Mus musculus: one gene and its partners. The protein of the gene in region 4 interacts with the protein of the main gene of each other region in a pairwise test. Links are inferred from orthologs where the notes say so. Each region holds a gene or a part of one and is shown on either strand. Other genes may lie near its edges.

Region 1 (4,263 bases), on a different chromosome or scaffold from region 4:
GTGCTGGGAACTGAAACCATGTCCTCTGGAAGAACAGCCAGTGCTCTTAGGCACTGAACCACCTCTTCAGCCCACATTCTTGCTTTACTTGCAGAATAATAGTTGGGCTTTAAATTTGTGACAAGGTCTGGTTCTGTAGTCTACCCTTGCCTTAAATTTGTTATCCTCTAGCCTTAGCATCTAAAATAATATTACAGGTGTGTGTCACTATGCCTGACACAATTGTTACTTGAAGAAATGAAGATTTAGATAGTACTTGGCCTGTGGCTAGGAGAACCAGCCTGTTTCACAACAAAAGAATCACATTTTAGACATTTGTGAAAGAAAACTGCCTGAGTTAAGCATATGAATCCCATGTCTTTCCTAAATGGTTTAATGAAGTTCTCCATTTCAAAGGCAGAAAGGGTTTTGCAAATACACAGAACTTAAGGTAATAGATACTAATTGCTGCAGATTTGGAAGTTAGTAAGTTACTTTCTATCTTCAATATTTCCTTTGAGCTACTACCACCATACTGAAGACTCATTTTACTCAAATCTTTTAGATAGCCACGTGTTAAAAAACTTAATGGTTTGTATTTCAATTCTTTATTGTTTAGATATACACTGATTTAATAACATCATTTACTCATCAATTCAAAGCAATAATGTGGCTGCTTTTAAACAAACCAGGCAATCAATACAAAATTGCAATCATCAGGCTTTTTTGGGTTGGTTTGGTTTTTCCAGACAGGGTTTTACTCTGTAGCTCTGGCTGTCCTTGAACTCAACTTGTAGACCAGGTAGCCTCAAACTCAAAGAGATCCAGCTGCCTCTGTCTCCCGAGTGCTGGGACTAAAGGCATGTGCCACCACAGTCCGGCAAGGTCATCAAATCTTAATCTTCAGAGAAGATCATCTCCACAAGGCTGGATTGACAGCACTCAGACTCCACAAGTTTTTGAGGCTGTAAAAAGAATGGTTAAGTTTTCACTGTTGCTATGAATATTACTAGGGGTGGAGTGAATTCTACTTTGAATGACAAGTTTTTGAACACAAATTATGCCATCAGCTAGTTATAACAAGCTTTATTAAATAGTTAGGATGCTTGTGTCAAGATGAATCATTAAAACACTTGGCCTGAGAGGCCTTGTATTTCCACACTAGGAAGCCCCATAGGCTGAAAACAAGAGACAGCATGCCTGGTGCCATCTCTTTCCCTCAACTCTTTAATTTAGGATTCTAGGGGCAGGGCTGAAATAGAGGGAGAGCCCTTTTAAGCCTGAAAAGTGGGTTTAGAAAACATTGACAAAGGTGCTTTCAGAAATGAGTCAACTTTCTTCTGAAGACAGAATCTTAAAAGTGGCTTAAAAATACACCCCAGACACTAATATCTGCATTATTAATAGTTTGTCAGGATTGGCAGAGGAATGGACACCAACTTGTGTGTTTCTGATGCACTCTGAACAACAATGTGATGTTGGAAATCAAAGGTCAAGATCTTTTCAAACTTGACTCAAAAAACAACTTGAGTTTTAACTACATTATAGCTACAAACATAAAGGTAGACACTTACTGTTCCATATTTAAGTAGTGTAGGCACTGCGGTTATTTTCAGTTTTTGTCTGAAGTCATTATTTGGGTCTTTCCAGCTGTTCCAAAATGAAACAGATAATGAAAAATACTACTTGGTTCATTACAGTTTACTCAACAGTTGACTTATATATAATATACTTGTAACCACTGCTTTTGTTAACCTTTAAACATTTTGAGAACTGTAACTTATGTGTCACTTTCTGCAAAGTTTAAAGTGTGGCTAAGATAAAACAAATGTAAAGTCAATAGAGTTCTGAACTTATTCCAGACCCAATTCATTAATGATGATATGTGGTTGAACATAAACTGTAAATATGAATTCAGTAATTCTAATTGTTTAGCTTATCAGACAATACCTAAAACACAGAGCCTGACCAATTATCTGAGGTCCTTTTTACCCAGCTTTTTAATAATATAGTCCATGTCTGGAGATACGGTATACATGACTTACTAAGGTTTGTCTCCTACTTGGCAGTAGATGAACACACAGTCTTCGGTAACATGCTTCAGCCCCTCTCGAATGACTGGCTCAGCTTTTTAAAAGAGTTAAAAAGTAATTACACATCAACTGCGATAGCCCACGCCCTCCCGTCCCCAGTCTTAGACTTTAACCGGTTGTAAGATAGGATGTTAAAGTCGCGTGTCCTCTGGACTCGTGAATCACTTAAGTCCTAGTCCTGATTGTCTTTAAGACACAATCAGAAAACTCAGCATACATATATGATGACGGAAAGATCAACTCCTGAGTCTGGTCTTTTTTTTTTTTATGAGACACTAATCGTTTGGGGAACTGAGAATTTTAAAGAACCTGGTTCCAAGATCCGAATCCATGATAAAAATGAGGGTCATCCTTGGGTGGGGCAGTAAGGGCCTAACGAGAGACGGGGTACAGCTCAGGCGCTTCTGCGGGTCTGCAGGACCAAGATCCTCATCTCATCCCACTTTCTGACTTCAGCAGGGGCCTTCTTCCTAGCACTGCTGTGGCGCAGCAACCCCCAGTCCTGGTCCCAGCCTCACCTTCCACGCAGTCCGGACACCAGCTCTTCCCTTCGGTATCCTTAGAACCGCTGAAGTAGGCGAAAATGGTCTTGCCCTCATGCTCCTTCACTGCCTTGTCGAACTCCTCGAAGCCCAGCACGCTCACCTCCTCGAAGGTGGCCATGGGTACAACAGTGCGGAGAGGAGCACGGGAGGAGCCCTAGGGTCCTGCGCCCCCAAGGCGGGGCCCAAGTAAGGCGTGGACAAGGTTCCGGGTGGGCGGGGCCGCCGCAGCAGAGTGGTGCTACGGGAGCCTTGAATAGCCATAACTCCTTAGGGCCGTCCTTTTGGTCTGCTGGAGTTTCTTTTTGGCGCCAGTTTCCCTCAGACAACTAGACGCCTGACCTGGTCTGGTCCCCACCCTGGCTTCATGGACAGTGACGGCAAAGCCCGTCGCGGTACAACACCTTGATCCTCAAATGGCTCAGGAAGATCAACGGCTCCCAAACAGCCGCGCGCCTGTTGCCATGACGACTGGGCGAGAGGCCGGAAGCGAGGCCTAGCGTGGGGTCGCCTTACGATCTCTTGGTGGCCGCGCCGCGCCCAAACCAGGTGGGCTTGGGCCGGAGCTGGGGGAATTCTGGGAAACTGCATTAGACAGAGAGACAGTGAGAGACCTCGCCCCAGGCTTGCCTTGCAGCTCCGCCCCTCCTATTACCTTTCTATTTGTCAGACTTTAGGGGGGCCGGGGCCGGGGGCGGCGTCCGGGATCGGGCGGGGGTTTGGAGAGAGCTGGGAGGCAGAAAGGCAGCGAGGACTGGATCCGAGTGTTGTGAGTGCGTGTGCGGGGGAACAGATGCAAAGAGAGCGTGTCTGAGGTTGCATTGGGGAAAGGAATTGTCCAGGAGCTGCGACGCCGGCACGGGGGCCCTTGCCCGGGCTACGCAGGTGTACACTGGCAGCGAAGATGCCGGCTCATTGCATGAGGGCCCGCAGGTTGCGTCGGGGTGTTCGGCCTCTGTGGGCGAGGAGGTGGGGTGCAGGGTTATCCCGAGGCTATGGAGTAAGGCGCCGGGTGAGATCTTCAGTGCGGCGGATGCTCTGTGCAAACATAGGGTGGCTACAGAATGGTCAGCAGCCTTTAGAGAAGAGGACTGCGGAGCCCGCAGTCCCCGCTAGGGTGAACAGGGCCTTTGGGATACCTGGGACTGCAGGCTCGGTTGAGGCAGCAATGGACCCCAGGACAGTGTGGGTGAACGGGACTGTGGGCGAGCCCGAGGTGGTTGGGCCTGCTGGGTCTGTGTGGGTGACTGTATCTGGGGAGGAGGAGCTAGACAATAGGAGCTCTCCAAGCTGTGAGAGAAAAGGTCGTCCAGGAACACTTGGCCATGAGAGCATCCTGGAACTGTGGTTGAAGGTGCAGGCTATGAGGGTAGCGTCGGGATGCTGGGAAGGAAGCAGAGTGGAGCTCCATCCCGTTCCCGTGGGAGAGGGGCCGATCGAGAAGGGTATTCCTGGGCGAGCTTCCTGGGTAGAGACCAGCCGAGGTGGTGTCACCGGACCCTGGGTGAGAGGCAATACTAGGACATTCCCCCAGGCCTCAGGACTGCCCACAGCTAGGGGAATAGGGGCCGGTTGTGAGAGAGTCTCTATCCTTTGTAGGCAGGGACAAGCTGGGAAGACACCACCTCCTGTGGGTGGACCTGAGGTAG
Region 2 (4,310 bases), on a different chromosome or scaffold from region 4:
TTGGGTCAAGGATTTTTAAAAAAAAAATTATTTAGCTTGCGATATATTTTCTAAAAATAGCACATTTATAGGAATATTTAAATATTAATAGCTTACATTTTAAGTAACGTGTTGCAATCCTACCACCTGGCATGTCTTGGCACCATTCCCAAGAATGCCTACACCTTTAAACCTAAGGTAATTTACCACTTTTCTTTTTCCAACACAACGTCAAGACCGAAGTTCTAATAAATTTAAATGATACGAGATGCTATTGTATGCTAGTAAAATAAAATTCTGACGTCCCAAGAGGTTAAGTTCCGGATTCGCAAACCCAATTGGACTGCTCAGGTCGGATTCCCCGTAGCGTTATCACCGAATTAAAAAAAAAAAAAAAAAAAAAAAAAAGAAGTAATTTCTTCTAACAGGGACAGCTCTTTGTGTGGCAGAGCGCAGCTGCTGTGACAGAATGAGCAGGCATGCCCTTGGCAAAGCCAGATCTTGTCAGAGTGTGAGCTGTCCCAATTTCAATCAACTGTCAACGCTTCATTGAGGGTCAAAATGGCTTAGGCTGGCGGCTCCAAGGGCCTCGGGTGAGGTGCCCGGTTTTCTGCTCTAAGCGTTTAGCCACCCCTAAGAAAACGCTAGGAGGGGAGGCCCTGAGTGGGGTGCGGACAGGTGCGTCCTCTGGAACTACACAAAGGGCCGGCGGCACCGCCACTGAGCCCCTAGCAACTGCACGCAAGCTGCGCTCGCGCGCTTTCCGCCGCCCCACGGCGCTCAGGGCGGGAGGCTCGCCGGGAGGGCGGGGCAGCGCGCGCAGGTCAGCGGCGTAAGCGACAGACACCCTCGGGCCTGCTCGCGGACGCGGCCTGGGAAGCGCGAAGGCAGTTCTAGGTTCGGCACCGCTAGCATTGTAGGGATTTGTAGTCCGCGAGCCCGTGGGGCACCTCCCCTCCGGGTAGGCCGACCCAGGCGTCCCCGCCCTCTGCACGAGGACTTCCTGCCGCGGCTTAAACTACAACTCCCGTCGTCCGCTGCGCCGAGGGCTGAAAGCGAAAACAAATTCTAGGCTGCGAGGTTGCTGCCCTCCGCCCGGCGCCCCTTCCCGCTCCCCGCCCCTCAGGCGCCCTCCGGCGAGGTGGGGAGACGAGCGGCCGTGGCTTTCTCTCCGCGTTTCCTCGGTTCTCGGCGTGGGGTGCGTGCGGGAGACGCAGGCCTCGCTTAATCTCAGCCGGGCGCGCCGCCGGGGCTTTTCTCGCCTCACACCGGTCGAGACCCGGAAACTTGTGGGGGCGGCGACCCCCGGGCTGCCCGCGGGCGCGTGTCCCTCCGCGGAGGCGGCCGCGTGCGGATGGCCATGCACTAGGCTGGGCTCACCTATGCTCCGGGAGAGCGCCGGCCACCGCCTCGGGCCGCTGCCGCCACCGCCTCTTCCTGCCGCCGCTCGCCGTGTCCGCGTCGGAGCCGGAGCCCGAGCCGCAGCCTGCCCCAGGCCCGGGCGTCGAGCAGCCGGCGGCGCGGCCATGTGGGGCTAGTTCGCCCCGCGCACGCTGCAGCGGACCGGCAACATGGAGGCAGCCGTCGGCGCGCCCGACGGCGTGGACCAGGGCGGCGTGGGGCCGCTGGAGGATGAGACGCCCATGGACGCCTATCTGCGCAAACTGGGCTTGTATCGGAAATTGGTCGCCAAGGACGGGTCGTGCTTGTTCCGGGCTGTGGCCGAGCAGGTAAAGGACCCGGGCCGGAGCCGGGCGGGCGCGGGGCTGGGTGCGACATGCCGCCCGCAGCTGCCTGGCCGCCCACGGCGGGGCTGCGCGTGGCTCGCTGTCGTCACAGCGGCCCATTGTAACGCCGGCACGGGACCGAGTGAGGACATCTCGGGCGGCCTGCTCGCAGCCTGACCGCCAGGGACCCAGCGACATGCTGTTTTTGAGTTGTGTTCCGCGTTCACCTGCGCTCAGTTTTTAGCAGCCGAGTGTTCCCACTAGTTAACCTCATGTTTACTGGAGGAGGTGCGGCACTCAGTGTGACTGCTTCACATTTTTTTTTTCCTGTTGCTGGACTTTGGAATGCGGGGTAGTCGGTCTCACCGGTGTCACTCGAAACAGGCGGCCAACTTTGCTGTTTAAGGAAAGCAGTCTTCCTGTATAGGGTCTTCCCAGTGACTTAATCTTGAGTAGGTCCCATACTATACTATGTTGGAATCAGGCAAGAATTTACTCTTCTAAAGGCCTTTAAGTAATAGGATGGATTTTCAGTATAGGCACATGTCGGGTTTTTTTTTTTGTTTCCGTTTTTTGTTTTGTTTTCCTTATTGGTCAAAAATTATTCCCAGTACAGATCGAACATTTTACCAAAGAGAAGTGAGTTAGAACTCAGGAGTGGGACGAGTTCCAGGGAAGAATACTCAAGGCTTTTCTTTTTTGAGAGCGAGCCCTTTTCCCCATGTTATGTAATCAGATGTAGGTGTGGGGTCACCAAAACCCATCCTATATTTGAAGACTAGCTGCTAAAGTAGTTGGATTAAAAAAGTTTCACATTACTGCTCCAGTTTGTATTTCATACCATTTACAGTTTGCTTTCCTTTGGCTTAATCTGGAGTTTTTATGGTTTTGTCCCCTCCCGCCCGCCCCCTTTTGTGAGCTAACTAGCTTTTAAGATTTCTGTTTTAGAATCACCAGGCTATGTATTTTTCAGAGTATGTAAATATGGAACACTTTGCACTTATGACAGGTATGTCCATTGAAACATTCTTTGATGCTTCCCAAACCATCCTACCATTTGATATCTCTTATTTTCAGAAATGTAGGAAGCTCCAGTGTGGGTGCTGTTTCCAGCCCAGTCTTTACTGTTACATAGGTAAACAGTCTGCTCCATTTGTGAGTTTTCCAGATGAAGAAGATTGTCTCCTTGTCTCAGCCTTCTTGGCCTCTAGCACCTCTAGAAGCTGAAGAGGGGAAGTGAAGTCATCCCATGGTGTCGGTTTATATTATAGTGCATTAGCAAGTTTGTGGAGGATGGAGGTAGAGGTTAGTGTTTGGAGTTGAGTTATCCAGGCCTATTTAAAGTGAGACAGAAAGGTGTGTTTCTGCCCATGAGACATGCCACAGATCCTTGGGGATAGAAGAGCAGCTTGGGGGACTCAGTGTCTGCACAGTGGGCAAGAGCTAGTTGCACTAAACTCATTGATGGGGGTAAACTCCGTTTCAGCCTTGGGATCTGGGTTAGTCTTAAAGGACCTAACCTTTACAAATTTGGGGACGCTTTATTTTGAATATATTGAGCCTACATCTAGGGGAAGCAACATAAGTATTCCAGTAGATCCAGACTGAGTGAGGAAGTAATGGTGAGGAAGAATGTGTTAGCCTCCGCTGCCTTTAAAAGTCTGTAGGAAGGATTTGTTTTAGTGGAATTTCTTTTCTGGTAAATAGTTCAATAAATATTTTTAAGAGTCAGGAAGCTAAATAGTCCTAAGAGAAGAGGATTCGAGCGCGCTTGAGATTAGCCTTTTCCCCTTCAGATTACCTGATTTAGAGATGCTTTTTCCTTTTTTTTTTTCTTTTTTCTTTTCACTTGTGGATTTGGGCCTGCAGGAAGCCTGACCTGAATCAGCTCCTAGCCTTGTAGCTAAAAATAGGGCACTCTTAGAGGACTTGCTAAAACAGTGTCTCAGCCTTTCCCTGTGTTTATCACTACCTTGTTTTAAAGCTTCTACCTTTAGCCTATTTTCATGGAGCAACATAGCAGACCACTTGAATTTTGAGTGTCCAGGGATTGAGAAGTAATTTACTATTTGAAGAGTTGTCATTTCAGTCTTGCTTTTTTTGCATTGTTTGACTTACTAAATTATCAATATTCTACACTTCATGTACATTGATGAGAGTTTTGCATCTGGATTGCAGGTTCAGGTTGATGACATGTTCTAAAATCTTTGTTAAAAGGAGAAAAAACAGATACTTGTGATGTAGTTACTGATGAGAAGTGAGCTTTACTAATTTCTGCCTGCCACCTGTTGTTAGGTGAATGGCTTGAACACAAACCGGAGGCGCCTTGCTGACAGGCAAGCCCTATCAGGTGACACTGTGGCTCACTCAGATTAATAATGCTTGATCCATAACAGTGTCTAATGCAGCTACTGGGAAAGCTATATTGCCAAATGTAATTTGTTGAAATGGCAAACAGTTGGTGTTTTTGAAAATGCGTGGACGGTTCTTGTGATGCGGGAAGCTTAGACTGTGCAAGGCTACTTTCTAGTAATGTCCCAAAACAGTAAGAAAAGAGACTCCAGCTGCGTTTTACACCTCTCCTGGATAACAACCAAGAACTGG
Region 3 (3,190 bases), on a different chromosome or scaffold from region 4:
TCCAGGTACCTATCAATTTTCAGTAAATGTTACTTCTACAAGCTGTTTCAGCTCTGTATAGAACGATGTACAGAAAAGTTAAAAGCTGATGAGTAACCACAGACACCCTTCACAGCTTTGGTGAAGCCATGCTGTCTTCACAGGAGGCCGTTCACAGATCAGTGGCAGTATTTTCCTATTTTACCTACACTGAGAAGTTTTCTAACTCAACATCCCAAGGCTGCTCGGGTCCCCAGTGACACTGTGCTCATTCAAAACCCAGTCCTCAACAGACTCTGCTTAGTGGCCTTTCTGGGACCAAATCTTGTCACACAGCTAAGCCTCGGATTTCTTATCAAACTAATTGTGGAGACGAGAAAATGTAATCTTTACAACTGGGCTCTCCGAGTGTGTCGGCCACGCCCCCGTCCACGAACACCACCTCGGCGCCTGCTTCCCCAGCTGTAATGAAACACGGGCGTGGGAGCCCCACTTCTGATGCTGCACATTCATGCGTGAGCTGATATTGCTGAAATAGAGTCTTTATTTCCGAACATTCCAAAACAGCAGTGTACACAGTAACAAACAGTAAGTCATAGACCCTAAGAAAGCATTCATTAGTGCAAATGGGTTTTTGTAAAAGGTCTATCAAAAAGATTTATTTAAAATGCATTCGTTTCCAGAAGCATTGTTAATAAAACATTACAGTTTCATCCTTTGTAATAAAGTATTGAAAATCAATTGTGTGGTTGAGTAGCAAACATTGCGGGTCTTAAGTGCAATGAGCTTGTGATACCATCATAAATATGAAACTCATGTAAGACAATAAATTAACAATGAAAAAGACAAGACCGTTTAACTCTGCCGTCTGGCTGTCTCCTTGCAACGCTTTAGATTAAATTGTGCTCGTTCAACGTAAAATTATGTCTCAAATCGTATGGTGTGTTTTTGCTGATATATCCCTAGAGCTAAAAAAATAGTACCTTACCACAAAAATATTTTTATGGCACAAAATTTAAGTTGTTCCATAGTGGTTCACATAGGCATAAAAAGAAATAGGCACAAAAAATAAAATTCCTGTAAACTATAAAAAATTAAAATTCAAACCATGTTATAGAACCTAGTTGTAAATATGCAATGTATTAAAATGCAGAACATGTAATGGAAGGTGTTTAAAACATGTAGGTAAAATGAACAAGGTACTTTTAAAAACCTCATATGGCAAAGCATTATTGATACGCCTCAATCTCTCTCAAAAAGTATTCAGATACGGAGCAGTTCTACAAAAACTTCCTAGATCTAAGGTAACGATACCGCGGCCGCGGGTTTGGGAACGCCGCAGTATCTCAGGCAGAGAGTAGGTGAGCTCGTTAGTCTCTGGTGATTGGTCCACTGAAAACGATGCCGTGCGTGTGGTTAGCGTGAAGGGGAAAGCATCCCAGCATCCATGGTTACCCAGCCAGCTAGGTAACACACCCTCATTTTCACTTCTTCCCATTCTTCAAGGGTCCGTAAAACTGCATCAGTAGCAACCGTCTCTCCAATTTCCATCCCTCAGTGTGCTGAGTGAAGACAGAGGCTTGGGAGGCTGCAGGAAGCTATGAAGAGAGGAAAAGGCAGACGCGCTGTTAGTAATCCCGCCAGGCACATGACTTGCTCTGGTCCCCTCTCCCATCGGGGTTCCTTCATCCCATAAGGACAAGCTGTTGGCACTGTCACAAATGTGTATCAGGTTATGTCCTTCAGGCTTCTCCTAGTGTCTGCCTGTCTGCTGGAGCTGAGGCCTGAGCAGAGTCACATGTGTGCACGTGCACAAGGTTAAAAAAAAAAAGATAGAAAGGAAAAGGTACGATCCTTGATGGAAAAACAGCTACAAGCATAAAGCAGCTTTGTTGAGCACATGCATACATTCTTAGCATTTGAAATATTTTTTCTATGATAGCAACAAAGAACTGAAAAGTAATTTTGAAATATTTCAGGATTTTGAAAAATAACTTTGAAAATCCAATGTTTTCTCAAGTTTGAAGTAAACAAATCCTCTTCATATTCTATGACGATAGAAATCTTCCTCCTTCAAGATATGCATTCAAGAAAAAAATGGAGGGTCCCCAATAATGGATATGGAGCCATGAGCATGTCACATCTCTTTATTTACCAAGGAAAATAAGCCAGGCTACTGTCACTACCTTTGTCTAAAACGTACCCTATAAAGAACTTGGCATTTTTAGGCTGAAAAAAAAAAAGCTTGCCTGAGCCATCTGGAACTTAACAATACAAACGGGTTCCAGATGAATCAAACTAAGACTTTTCAAACCTCGAGCAGAAGTGTCACTGTGAGCAGACCTGAAGGAGGGAGGAAACTTGCCACACACGGAACCTGGGGCAGGGTACAGTGGGCCAAGGGATAAGAATCAAGTGAGAGGAAGCAGAATGTGACTACACAGAGACATCCATCACCTGCTGAGAAAGAGGGACCCAGGATGCGCCTGTAGGACAATGACCCGTGGTTGACCTGAGCCAGGGAAAGGTGAGGGTGAGCTGGAGAAACTTTGCAACTTCCAAGCACAGATTCAGTCCCGTGAACGGAGTTCTCACCTTCTGACAGGCTGTGCAATCTTGCTCCGAGGCAGGTTACTCCCATTTATTGCCAGTGAAGGTCTCGGAAGGGCGCTGCGACCCAGGATCCCAGAAGCCGCAGCTTTGTTCGGAGTAGGGATGCCCGTGGTGGAATATAACTGCGTGCCATTGGATAAAGGCATGCCGCTGCCGCTGCCGCCGCTGCTACCACTGCTGCCGCTGCTGCTGCTGCCTTGAACAGTTGGGCTCACATAGGCTGTGGCCTTCAGGGGCTGCCGGATGGGCACTGGGAAGTGGCCCACGCTGTGAACTCTGTGCTGAATCTGTCCTGGTGACGGGACTGTGGGAGAAAATAATGTCAGTGTGAGGAACTCGCCACTGCCTCCTAATTAGAGCTGTTATCCGCAGAGGAGCCTACATTCCCTGAATGTAAGAGGTAAGTGACGTACAGGTGCTAAGACCCTTCAGTAGGCGAGAATCCCGATAAGACTCTTCCCATTCTGTCCGCCTGAATACAGCTGATCTATGAACAGCATAACGGTCAAAAATCAAACTGTAATTCATGGTTTCCCCAAACTTCAGTCAGTACCCTCCTTGACCCAAAACCTTAACAATGAACATGTCTTATTACACT
Region 4 (4,066 bases):
AGCTTTGTGGGGTTGGAGCTGGGGAGTCGTTATTCTATTTTTGAACATTGGGAATTGCTATCCACCTCAATTACCTCACTGCCAGAGGTATCTCTCAACTTACTTATAATTCATTAAAATTATGAGCATTTAACTCACCGACATATCCTCTATCGGGGGCATCTACTGGTGGTGCTGCAAATTCCTACAAAAGCAAACAATGTATTCCAGTGAGAAAAGCCACGCAACACGATGACATTCTAGTCATCCACAGAGGCCGTGCCAGAGACCATTTCAGCCAATTAACCCATGTTAAGGATGCTGGCACTGCCTTCCTAGTGACTCCCAGGGAGGTTAAAGGGCAGTGTAATCAAACTGTGCTGCTCATCCATGAGGACCAGTGGGATTATGCCCACCCTATGACTTGTTCAGCAGCCAAATCTGAATTTAATCCCCAAGCGACACTGACATGACCAGGCTGGGGAGCCAGTAGTGGCTAGAAGCGAGGTATATAGCAATAAGAGCCCAGTGCAGCTATAGATCCACACAAGAGACTGCAAGAGCTGGGGAAAGTTACTTATCTCTCAAGTTCCTCTGCTGACACAGGGACAGATAAACAGTACCTGCCTACTCCTGAGGGCCCAAGTGAGACAGTGCCACTAAGTCCCAGGTATAATCCTGGCAAGCAGTATGTGGTCTGACAGTTATTACTTCAGCTTGACCACAGACCTAAACGAGGAAAGCTGCTCAGTGAAACGTGAGAAAGCACAGGTTCTGTCAGTAGACTCTGCCTACCTTCTACTTACAGAGATTGGTAACAGTAGAGCATCTAAAAAGCTCAGCAGACAGTTACTATTCCTACGACGAACAAAAGCTATCGATGGCTAAAGGTGTCACTGTAACAGTCGATTTCAAAACCGATATTGCTGAAACCCTAACGTGTGACGTGCTGAGGACTCACCTTGTAAAGCGTTAATGATGCTCACATGTAAAAAACAAAAAAACAAAAACCAACCTTGGGGAATATCATTCCAAATACCAGCCCCTGATCAAGTACAACCTCATAAGCATGCAGTTAACTTGGAATTCAGACATTACAGGCATACAGGAAACCTACTGCTTTAACGCCACAAATGACCGTGGTATTCCCCAGCTTCACGAGAGCAGAGCCATCCGCTGTACTGATTGAACCTGGAAAGGTAAACTTGGTATTCATAAAAAATTTTAAAAAGAAAAAAAAAAAGAAAATAACCACAAAGTTTCCTACAAAGTAGTTTAAATCTTTTTGTTTGCCTCTGAAACTCCCCCCACCCCCACCCACCCACCCCCTGAAACTTTTGACCGGTTCAGGTCAGTGACTTGAAAATGATATTACTACTTAACGTTTTTTCATCTTTTTCTTCGGTCTCCCAATTTGAACTAAAGTTTAGATCAACTACAAGGTTGGTGTGATGATAAAAATCTCTTAACATCACCCGATTGCGTTAGACATAGTAGAGCTGGCTGAAAAACTACGTGACACCAAGGATGTCCCACCCAACTAAAAGGAAGTTTATCTTCACCTATGTTGACAGTTGTGGCTCTGAATTCACCAAGTTCTCTTCCATCAGGACGGCAGTTTTCCTTCTAAATGTTTATAAGGAAACGGGTCATAGATGTATTTCGGGTACGCAGCATTAAGCCTCATTCATTTAAATGAACCGAAGCTTGGTGTTTTTACCCACAGCTCTAACGTACAAAACCACCTTCACTCACCAGAAATCTCCTGTAATACTCCAGCGGCTCCACAGTTCTGAAACAATGTTTAAAACGTGTCTCAGTCAGTGCGTCCTAAAGCAGAAACCCAGAACTTGAGAGTGTGGTGTCTGAGGCGTGATCTCGACAGGCTCAGGCGTTTGAAACTGTGTGGCCCGTATTTATAAAAGCCACACAGCAGCAACCGGTTTCCAGCGGTGACCTTAACTGTGCCATAGTCAGGAGGAACAGAGGCCCTTGGCACACCCAGAAGAGGGTCAACCTGGGTGTCAGTCACATCACTCGTGCTCTGAAGCAGGGACCTTAGCGTGACTTCGCGCCGTTATAAACCACACTCGCCAGCATCCACAACTTTACCACGGAAGAGTGTATTGTACATACGTTTGGCCTCCTCGCCGACCCGCGGCCACAAGTGACTGCAGGTAGGTACGGTGCACGCACCGCAGACGCGAGTTTGCAGGCTGCACGCGTGGGCGGCTCCGGGTTTAACCAGAGCGCGCCCAACGCTTTCCCAGTCCCTTCCGAGGGCGGCCCTGCGTGGAGAGCGGCGTGGCCCTCGGCTAAGAGGTCCGGGCCGTCCTGGATGCAGTGTCCCTCAGCGCCTCGAGTGGGCAGAGCCCTCCCGCGGCCCCGCGAGTCCTCGGGGGGGCCCCCACCCGCCGCCGCGCGCCACACCCGCACCCGGGCCCTCTTTGCGCGCGCCGCCACTCACTTGAACCCAGCCGCCATTTTTCCGGCCCGCTCTGCGCCTGCGCAGCCCTCCGCGCCTGCGCCCTCCGGTCGCCAGGCGTGCCTCCAGCCCAGGGCACTCGGAGGGATCCTGGGTTAGGGAAGTGCAGCTACCGTGTTCCTGCGCCCGAGGCATTAACGCCAGCTCCGGCCACCCCGAGCGTCCCGCTAGTCGCCAATCTCGCGGGGTCCCACGGGCCCGCGCGCTTGTGCACGAACACACTCCCACACACACGCAGGCGCACGAGATGAAAAGGGGGTGACCCTAAAACCCTCCACGGCGCCGGGCATCCTTAGATGGCTGCTCTGCACGGCGCGAGGGGTGAAGCCAGTGCACAGGTCCAGGGCTTTGACTTGCCGCACTCGGTGACCGGCCTGCAGTCCTCGGCGGAGCCGCGCGGGGGCGCTGCGGGGAGGCCTCGGCTTTCCTGCCGTGGCGGGGCACGGCCAGGCGGGGGCGCTGCGGGCGGCGGGCGAGGGCTAGGCCGGCCTCTCCTGCGGGGCCGGCTGGGGCGGGGCGCGGCGCCGCACCGCGCTTCCGCAAGTGTGGAGCTGCGGGATGGCTACGCTGCTACTGCAGCTGCTGGGGCTCGGCGTGGCGCTGGCGGCTGCCGCGCTCATTCTGGTGAGACCGTGGTGGAGTCCGGTGCTCCGGGTGTCCCTTCCGCGCTTCCCTCGCGTGCTTGGCTCCCTTGGCCTCAGATTCCCTGAAATCCTTTGAACCTTTGTTCCCCTTTGGAACCCTATTTGAGTGCCCAGAGCCTCCGCCCAGCTTTTCGGGGCTCCTGCTTCTGAACCCCCGCCTGTCACCCCTCCACGCCACTCCCCAGTCTTCTTCCTGGGGCTCCCATATGCACTGCAGCTGGAAAGAGCGGCCGATCCATAAGGCTAGGGACGATGGGTCAGCAAAAGATAGGCCCAGACGGCGTTCTATTCATTTTGGCCAGGGGTCTTTTTGTTTTGTTTTGGGTTTTTTTGCTTGAGAATCAGGCACCTTAGCGTTTTCTTTGCCATTCCTGTAGAAACGTGGCAGACCCCTTCTGATTATGTAGAAGAGGACATATTTGCCAACTAAACTCTGCCACATAGTTTGAAAAGGAGCCTGTAACTCATTCAGAAAGCAGATTCTGAAAAGCTTGCCTGTATTGAGACAGGTGGCCAGAAAGGCCTCTGCCACCTAGCCAATGTACATGTGCACATGCACAGTCTTGGAGTGGTGTAGCCAGATGACTGTCGCTGTGTGTCCGGTGAAGCCAGGCGCCCTCTCTCACTAAAATGCCTTCTTTAAAGGCTTGGAACAAATCTGAACTTTGTTGGCCACGTTCCGGGTTGTGGCCACTTTACTTTGAATCCTTTATACAGACTTAGCTGACTGTGTGTGCACGATGAGGCTGTGTGGACTGTACTAGATCCCACTGGCTTGAACGAGTAGAGGTACCCTTTATTTTACTGCAAGCATGTTGCACTTGGTGTGCAGTGCGTTGCATCTTGAAGCCTACTTTCCATCTGCCTGTTGGCATTCTTTCTCTCCGCCCACTTTTTTTTTTTTTTTTTTTTTTTTTTTTTGAGACAGGGTTTCTCTGTATAACTCTGGCTATCCTGG
Region 5 (4,219 bases), on a different chromosome or scaffold from region 4:
GAAGTCACCTATGCACATGCGCACACTTGCACACACACACACACACACACACACACACACAGCCACTGGACATTACCATGCGCCTGCTCTTTAGAGTCTGGATCTCACTTTCTAGGCACTGCCTATATCCAAGTCTCACAGAACCATTAGGCAGAAGGTCCAAAACGTCAAGCAAAACATCAAAGTGTGCCACACTGCCCTATGGCTCCTTCTGGTTGGCCCAGAAGGCATAGGAGTCAAACAAGAGAGAACCCAGCTAAACAGGGAGGGGTGGAGCAAAGTCCACAGTCTGAAACAAACCAGAGTCCATCCACCATAAGCTCCTGCCCAGCCCACACTCCATCCAGGACAGATCTCCCAGCTGTTGCTCCAGCTGAAAATGAACAGGCCTAGAGGCTATGTTCCTCCATGCCCAGTGTACAACTGTCTCCTTGTAAGCAAGACAGGCTAAGGACCTGTGTGCCTGTAGGCAGGTTGTGGTGCCTCAATTACTAGACCTGAAAACACCCTATGTTCCTGGGGGCGGGGCAGGTCTACTGCCCTCCAGCAACACAGGTCTGGAGAAAGGGACCGAGTGAAGACAAGAGTACCGAAAGGCTTAGGCATAGCAACCAGAGGTTCCTACTGTCAAAGCCAATGCAGGACCAGCACCAGAATGACCTCTCCAGAATATGGAGCTAATCAGGCTTCACTCCCCACTCCCCAAGCCAGCTCAGAGGAGCCAGCACAACAGCAAACTTAGGAATCGAGTCCAGCTGAATATCTGCTCTAACTGGTGCCTTCTTAGCTTTATAAAGCTTCTCCAGCTTTACAAAGAAATCAGAAAACAAATGGACTCACAGCAAGATTGTAGTGATTCGAAGAGAAAATTCTAGCAAGTAGGTCCCCAGAATATTTAGTGTCCAAGAGTTTAGTTACTGCTGTTTTGTACCTGCTGGGCCCTCAGGTGAACCGTATCTTAGTGCCAGCTGGGGGGGGGGGGATTAGAGGGGGCTGCCAGCTGCTAGACCCACCAACAGGCCCTAGGTATTGGCTCTCAACTTGAAAGTAAAGTGGGATCCCTACCTGGATTTTATACCTATGCAGCAACCTGCCCCACAGGCGTTGCTGTCTACCAACCAGCCTATGCCACTCAGCGGGCTCCTCCTCCTCCAGCCCCAGCCCTGCCTGGCTGGGGTGTCGGAGCACGTGGCCCCAGCCCTGGGGAGCCATTACGCTCCTAGAGTAGCACGGCAGGCAGGAAAGAGATCGTCGGTTTCAAACTTAAGCGCGCTGGAGAAACCTCTCCTTGCGTGCACCACCACCATCCCCGCCCGGACCCAGCCGGCTTGTAGGGTTCAATGAGCAGATACCAGGGCCGGCAATAGAAATCTCAGACATGACGATTTAACAAGAGTTTAAGAGAGATTCGGCCACTGGTCAATCGCGATTTAGTAGCGAGTGGATCTGGGGCAACCTAGGTAGGATCAAGCTCACTAAGGGGTATCTCAAGAGAGACCTCCGACCACCCACCCGACCAGGAGATTCAACGCTTTGCATTTATGACTGAGGAACAGAAGTGGGACAGCAAAGTTTGCAGACCCATATGCAACAGGAAGTAGACTAGAGCCCTGAAGCAACCTAAGACGCACCCTCATCAAAAGGCCTCCCCACCTGGCCTGCTTAGCCCACCTAGTTGGTTACGGCCGAGCTTTGTGCAAGTAAAGCGTGGCCCCGAAGCGCCTACAAGTCCCACAATGCAGCACCGACCCGGCATAGAGAACTACAGCTCCCGTGAGGTCGTGCGCGCAGAGGCCCGCCTACTCCAAGAGGGCTGCAGAGTCACGTCCAGGCCTCGCTAGTAAACAGCACCCGAGCGCGGGCGGAGAACGTGCGACTAGTGACTGCCAACGTGTGGGGGACCGCAACTTCCCTGCTTGAAGCATGGCCACTAAAGGTCCACGTACGCCTCGCAACCTCGAGCGAGCACGCCCCCAACCCTGCTGCAGCCCTGTTCTCTGCAAACGTTCACACCACCCGGCTCCCCGCCCCCCCTCCCCGCAGCCTGGAACCGCGGCATGGCAGCATTGTAGCTGTCCTCTCGCACACTCCGGGCCCCCCCCAAAACGACCTCCTTAGAAGAGGGTTCCCAGAAAGCGCGAGTAAGCAAGGAAAAGGAAGGAAGCCAAAGCTGGCGGGGGGAGGAGGAAGCGCTGGGTGAAAGCCACCAGCAGCAAGCATGGCCGGGACTGCTGCAGCACCACGTGGGTCTGTTTGCAATTTACAAACGTCGCGACTCGCCCGCCTGCAGCGGACAAAAGTGGACAGAACCTCTCGGGGTCCCCACGTTCCAAGGGAAGAGGGTCCCTAGGCAACGCAAGCAGGGTTCCAGAGACTGCAGCGGACCCAGTAGCTAAGAAAGGCGAGCGAGCTCGGAGGCGCGAGCCATGCGTGCGCACACGCGCACCCGCCCGGGCGGGCTGGCCGGGGGCTGCAATGGGAAGAAGGGGTTGGGGGGAGGAGCAGTACACACCTACAGAGCCCTCCTATCACTTCTTTCTCTGTTTTCCTGAAATGTTGCAAAGAGGGCACCTTCTGAGTGGGCACCATGAAATACTCCATAGCGATAGGCCCCCCTCCTGTGCACGAGCCAGGTCTCGCGGTCAGCCGGAGAATGCAAGATGGAAATCCGAATCAAAGGGCAGCGCCGGACGGAGGTGCAGAATCGGCCGGTCCCAGATGCTGGCGGCAGCAGCAGCAGCGGCGAGGGGAGGGAGGCGGGCGGGAGGGGCGGGCGGGAGGTCTCTCCAGCCTGCCTCCCCGGGCGTGTGTATGTGTGTGTGTGTGTGTGTGTGTGTGTGTGTGTGTGTTTGCAGCTGATCAGATGTCTGTTTCAAGGCGGGAAACAGCTGGTGAAAACTCAGCACTCCCCGGCCTCCTTCCGCGGAGTAAGGAATTGCATGTAAACAAAGGACTATTTGCAGCGCCCCCCCCAGGGCGACTGGATGCTGGGGCGAGAAGGGCGCAAGCTCCTTGGGACCGACTACTACATGGGTCTGCAGACTTAACCCTGGGATCAGGAATCAGGGGTCGACAGCTGGCTGTGGGGGGACACGATGTGAATGGAGTGAACAGCGGCCCAGCTACATGCGCCACTATGGGTGATGAGGTCCATCAGCTGACAGGTTGGCAAGCGTAGCTAAAAAGAAAAAAAAAAAAAAAAAAAAAAAAAAAAAGGCCAGCCCCACCGCACGGGATCCCAGTCTGTGCAGTCCAGGGTCCGGTGAGGACTGCCCAGTGCGGGGTCTTTGCGCACCGCTATCCTGGAGGACGCGCTGGGCGGGGCTGCAGCAGCAAAGGGAAGGCTCTTTTGGGTGTGTGCTTCAGGCTTTTGCATTTTCATAATTGCCACTGCACGGAGCGGAGCAGAGCCACTCTGGCGCGCTCCCTTTCGAGCCGACCCGGGCCCCCTGGAAACTTGCGTCATAGCCACTGTTTCCCACAAGTAACTTGGGGCTGACTCTGACCACCCGCCAGCCTCCTCCCTCCGTCTTTACCCAGGTGGCTGCCTGGCCCAAACTCTGACTGGTGCTAGGAAATTAGATTGCGAAGGGTACAGGCAGGTGCGCAAGGTACCTCGGATGTTTGGGGCTGCCATAGGAAGAGAGAGCAAGTGGGAAGGAAGGGAAGGGCGGAGGCAAGCCAGAACAGCAGCGGCCCTGAGGCAGGCTGCCAGCGCGGTCCGAATATCCATTAGAGGTCTGGTGGTGGCTGCCAGGTCCTGTCTTGCCTCTTTCACTACCTTACTTTCCGACTTCGCGCGCAGCGGGCTGCAGCTTCTCATTCATGGGGAAGGCGGGATAAAACTTGCTCCACCGCCAGAGGGCGCGCTCTACAATGGGGGGGGAGTGGTGGTCTGGGGCAAGGGAGGGGACGTTTTAGGGGTGAGCTTCCGTCCTCTGACACGCCCCCACCTTCCGGTCCCGGCCCTCCCCAGACTCCTGGAGGGCTTGGCCCCAGGCTCAGGAAGCCCACGCCTGCCTCGGAATGTCCTCGCTCCAGCTCAGCGCCTTTCCCAGACCCATTCGCTGCCTTCCAAGGTTCCACCCAAATCGAGCCTCTTAGTTGAAATACTTCTATTTATAACAATTGTTGGGTATTATTAGAAAACATTGTTCAATATTACCAACCTGATCTCTAACTGTAGATGCCAGATCAATTAGCATCTAATCCCAGGGAC

What was found.
Region 1: the proteins of Exosc8 (region 4) and Txndc17 interact in binary tests that used the Homo sapiens proteins (3 or more experiments, as listed by UniProt). The two-hybrid records come from large-scale screens. The link is inferred for Mus musculus from reciprocal best matches to the Homo sapiens genes EXOSC8 and TXNDC17.
Region 2: the proteins of Exosc8 (region 4) and Otud4 interact in binary tests that used the Homo sapiens proteins (3 or more experiments, as listed by UniProt). The two-hybrid records come from large-scale screens. The link is inferred for Mus musculus from reciprocal best matches to the Homo sapiens genes EXOSC8 and OTUD4.
Region 3: the proteins of Exosc8 (region 4) and Slain1 interact in binary tests that used the Homo sapiens proteins (3 or more experiments, as listed by UniProt). The link is inferred for Mus musculus from reciprocal best matches to the Homo sapiens genes EXOSC8 and SLAIN1.
Region 5: the proteins of Exosc8 (region 4) and Tfap4 interact in binary tests that used the Homo sapiens proteins (3 or more experiments, as listed by UniProt). The two-hybrid records come from large-scale screens. The link is inferred for Mus musculus from reciprocal best matches to the Homo sapiens genes EXOSC8 and TFAP4.

The regions. Positions count from the first base shown.
Region 1 is NC_000077.6:72,206,096-72,210,358, reverse strand, and holds the start of Txndc17 (thioredoxin domain-containing protein 17), read right to left. Parts: upstream 2,806-4,263; 5' UTR 2,736-2,805; coding exon 2,591-2,735; intron 2,107-2,590; coding exon 2,025-2,106; intron 1,630-2,024; coding exon 1,554-1,629; intron 945-1,553; coding exon 876-944; 3' UTR 1-875. UniProt on the Homo sapiens protein: Disulfide reductase. May participate in various redox reactions through the reversible oxidation of its active center dithiol to a disulfide and catalyze dithiol-disulfide exchange reactions. Modulates TNF-alpha signaling and NF-kappa-B activation.
Region 2 is NC_000074.6:79,638,356-79,642,665, forward strand, and holds the start of Otud4 (OTU domain-containing protein 4), read left to right. Parts: upstream 1-1,507; 5' UTR 1,508-1,550; coding exon 1,551-1,709; intron 1,710-1,748; exon of another isoform or gene 1,749-2,158; intron 2,159-4,310. Other genes in the region: uncharacterized protein Gm51579, read right to left, coding at 998-1,507.
Region 3 is NC_000080.6:103,702,223-103,705,412, reverse strand, and holds the end of Slain1 (SLAIN motif-containing protein 1), read right to left. Parts: intron 2,897-3,190; coding exon 2,575-2,896; intron 1,578-2,574; coding exon 1,502-1,577; 3' UTR 506-1,501; downstream 1-505. UniProt on the Homo sapiens protein: Microtubule plus-end tracking protein that might be involved in the regulation of cytoplasmic microtubule dynamics, microtubule organization and microtubule elongation.
Region 4 is NC_000069.6:54,732,562-54,736,627, forward strand, and holds the start of Exosc8 (exosome complex component RRP43), read right to left. Parts: upstream 2,804-4,066; 5' UTR 2,464-2,803; coding exon 2,447-2,463; intron 1,772-2,446; coding exon 1,735-1,771; intron 1,606-1,734; coding exon 1,542-1,605; intron 1,171-1,541; coding exon 1,097-1,170; intron 185-1,096; coding exon 139-184; intron 1-138. Other genes in the region: Alg5 (dolichyl-phosphate beta-glucosyltransferase), read left to right, coding at 3,023-3,088. UniProt on the Homo sapiens protein: Non-catalytic component of the RNA exosome complex which has 3'->5' exoribonuclease activity and participates in a multitude of cellular RNA processing and degradation events.
Region 5 is NC_000082.6:4,556,916-4,561,134, forward strand, and holds the start of Tfap4 (transcription factor AP-4), read right to left. Parts: upstream 2,806-4,219; 5' UTR 2,602-2,805; coding exon 2,513-2,601; intron 2,473-2,512; exon of another isoform or gene 1,750-2,472; intron 1,743-1,749; exon of another isoform or gene 1,672-1,742; intron 1,043-1,671; exon of another isoform or gene 77-1,042; intron 69-76; exon of another isoform or gene 1-68.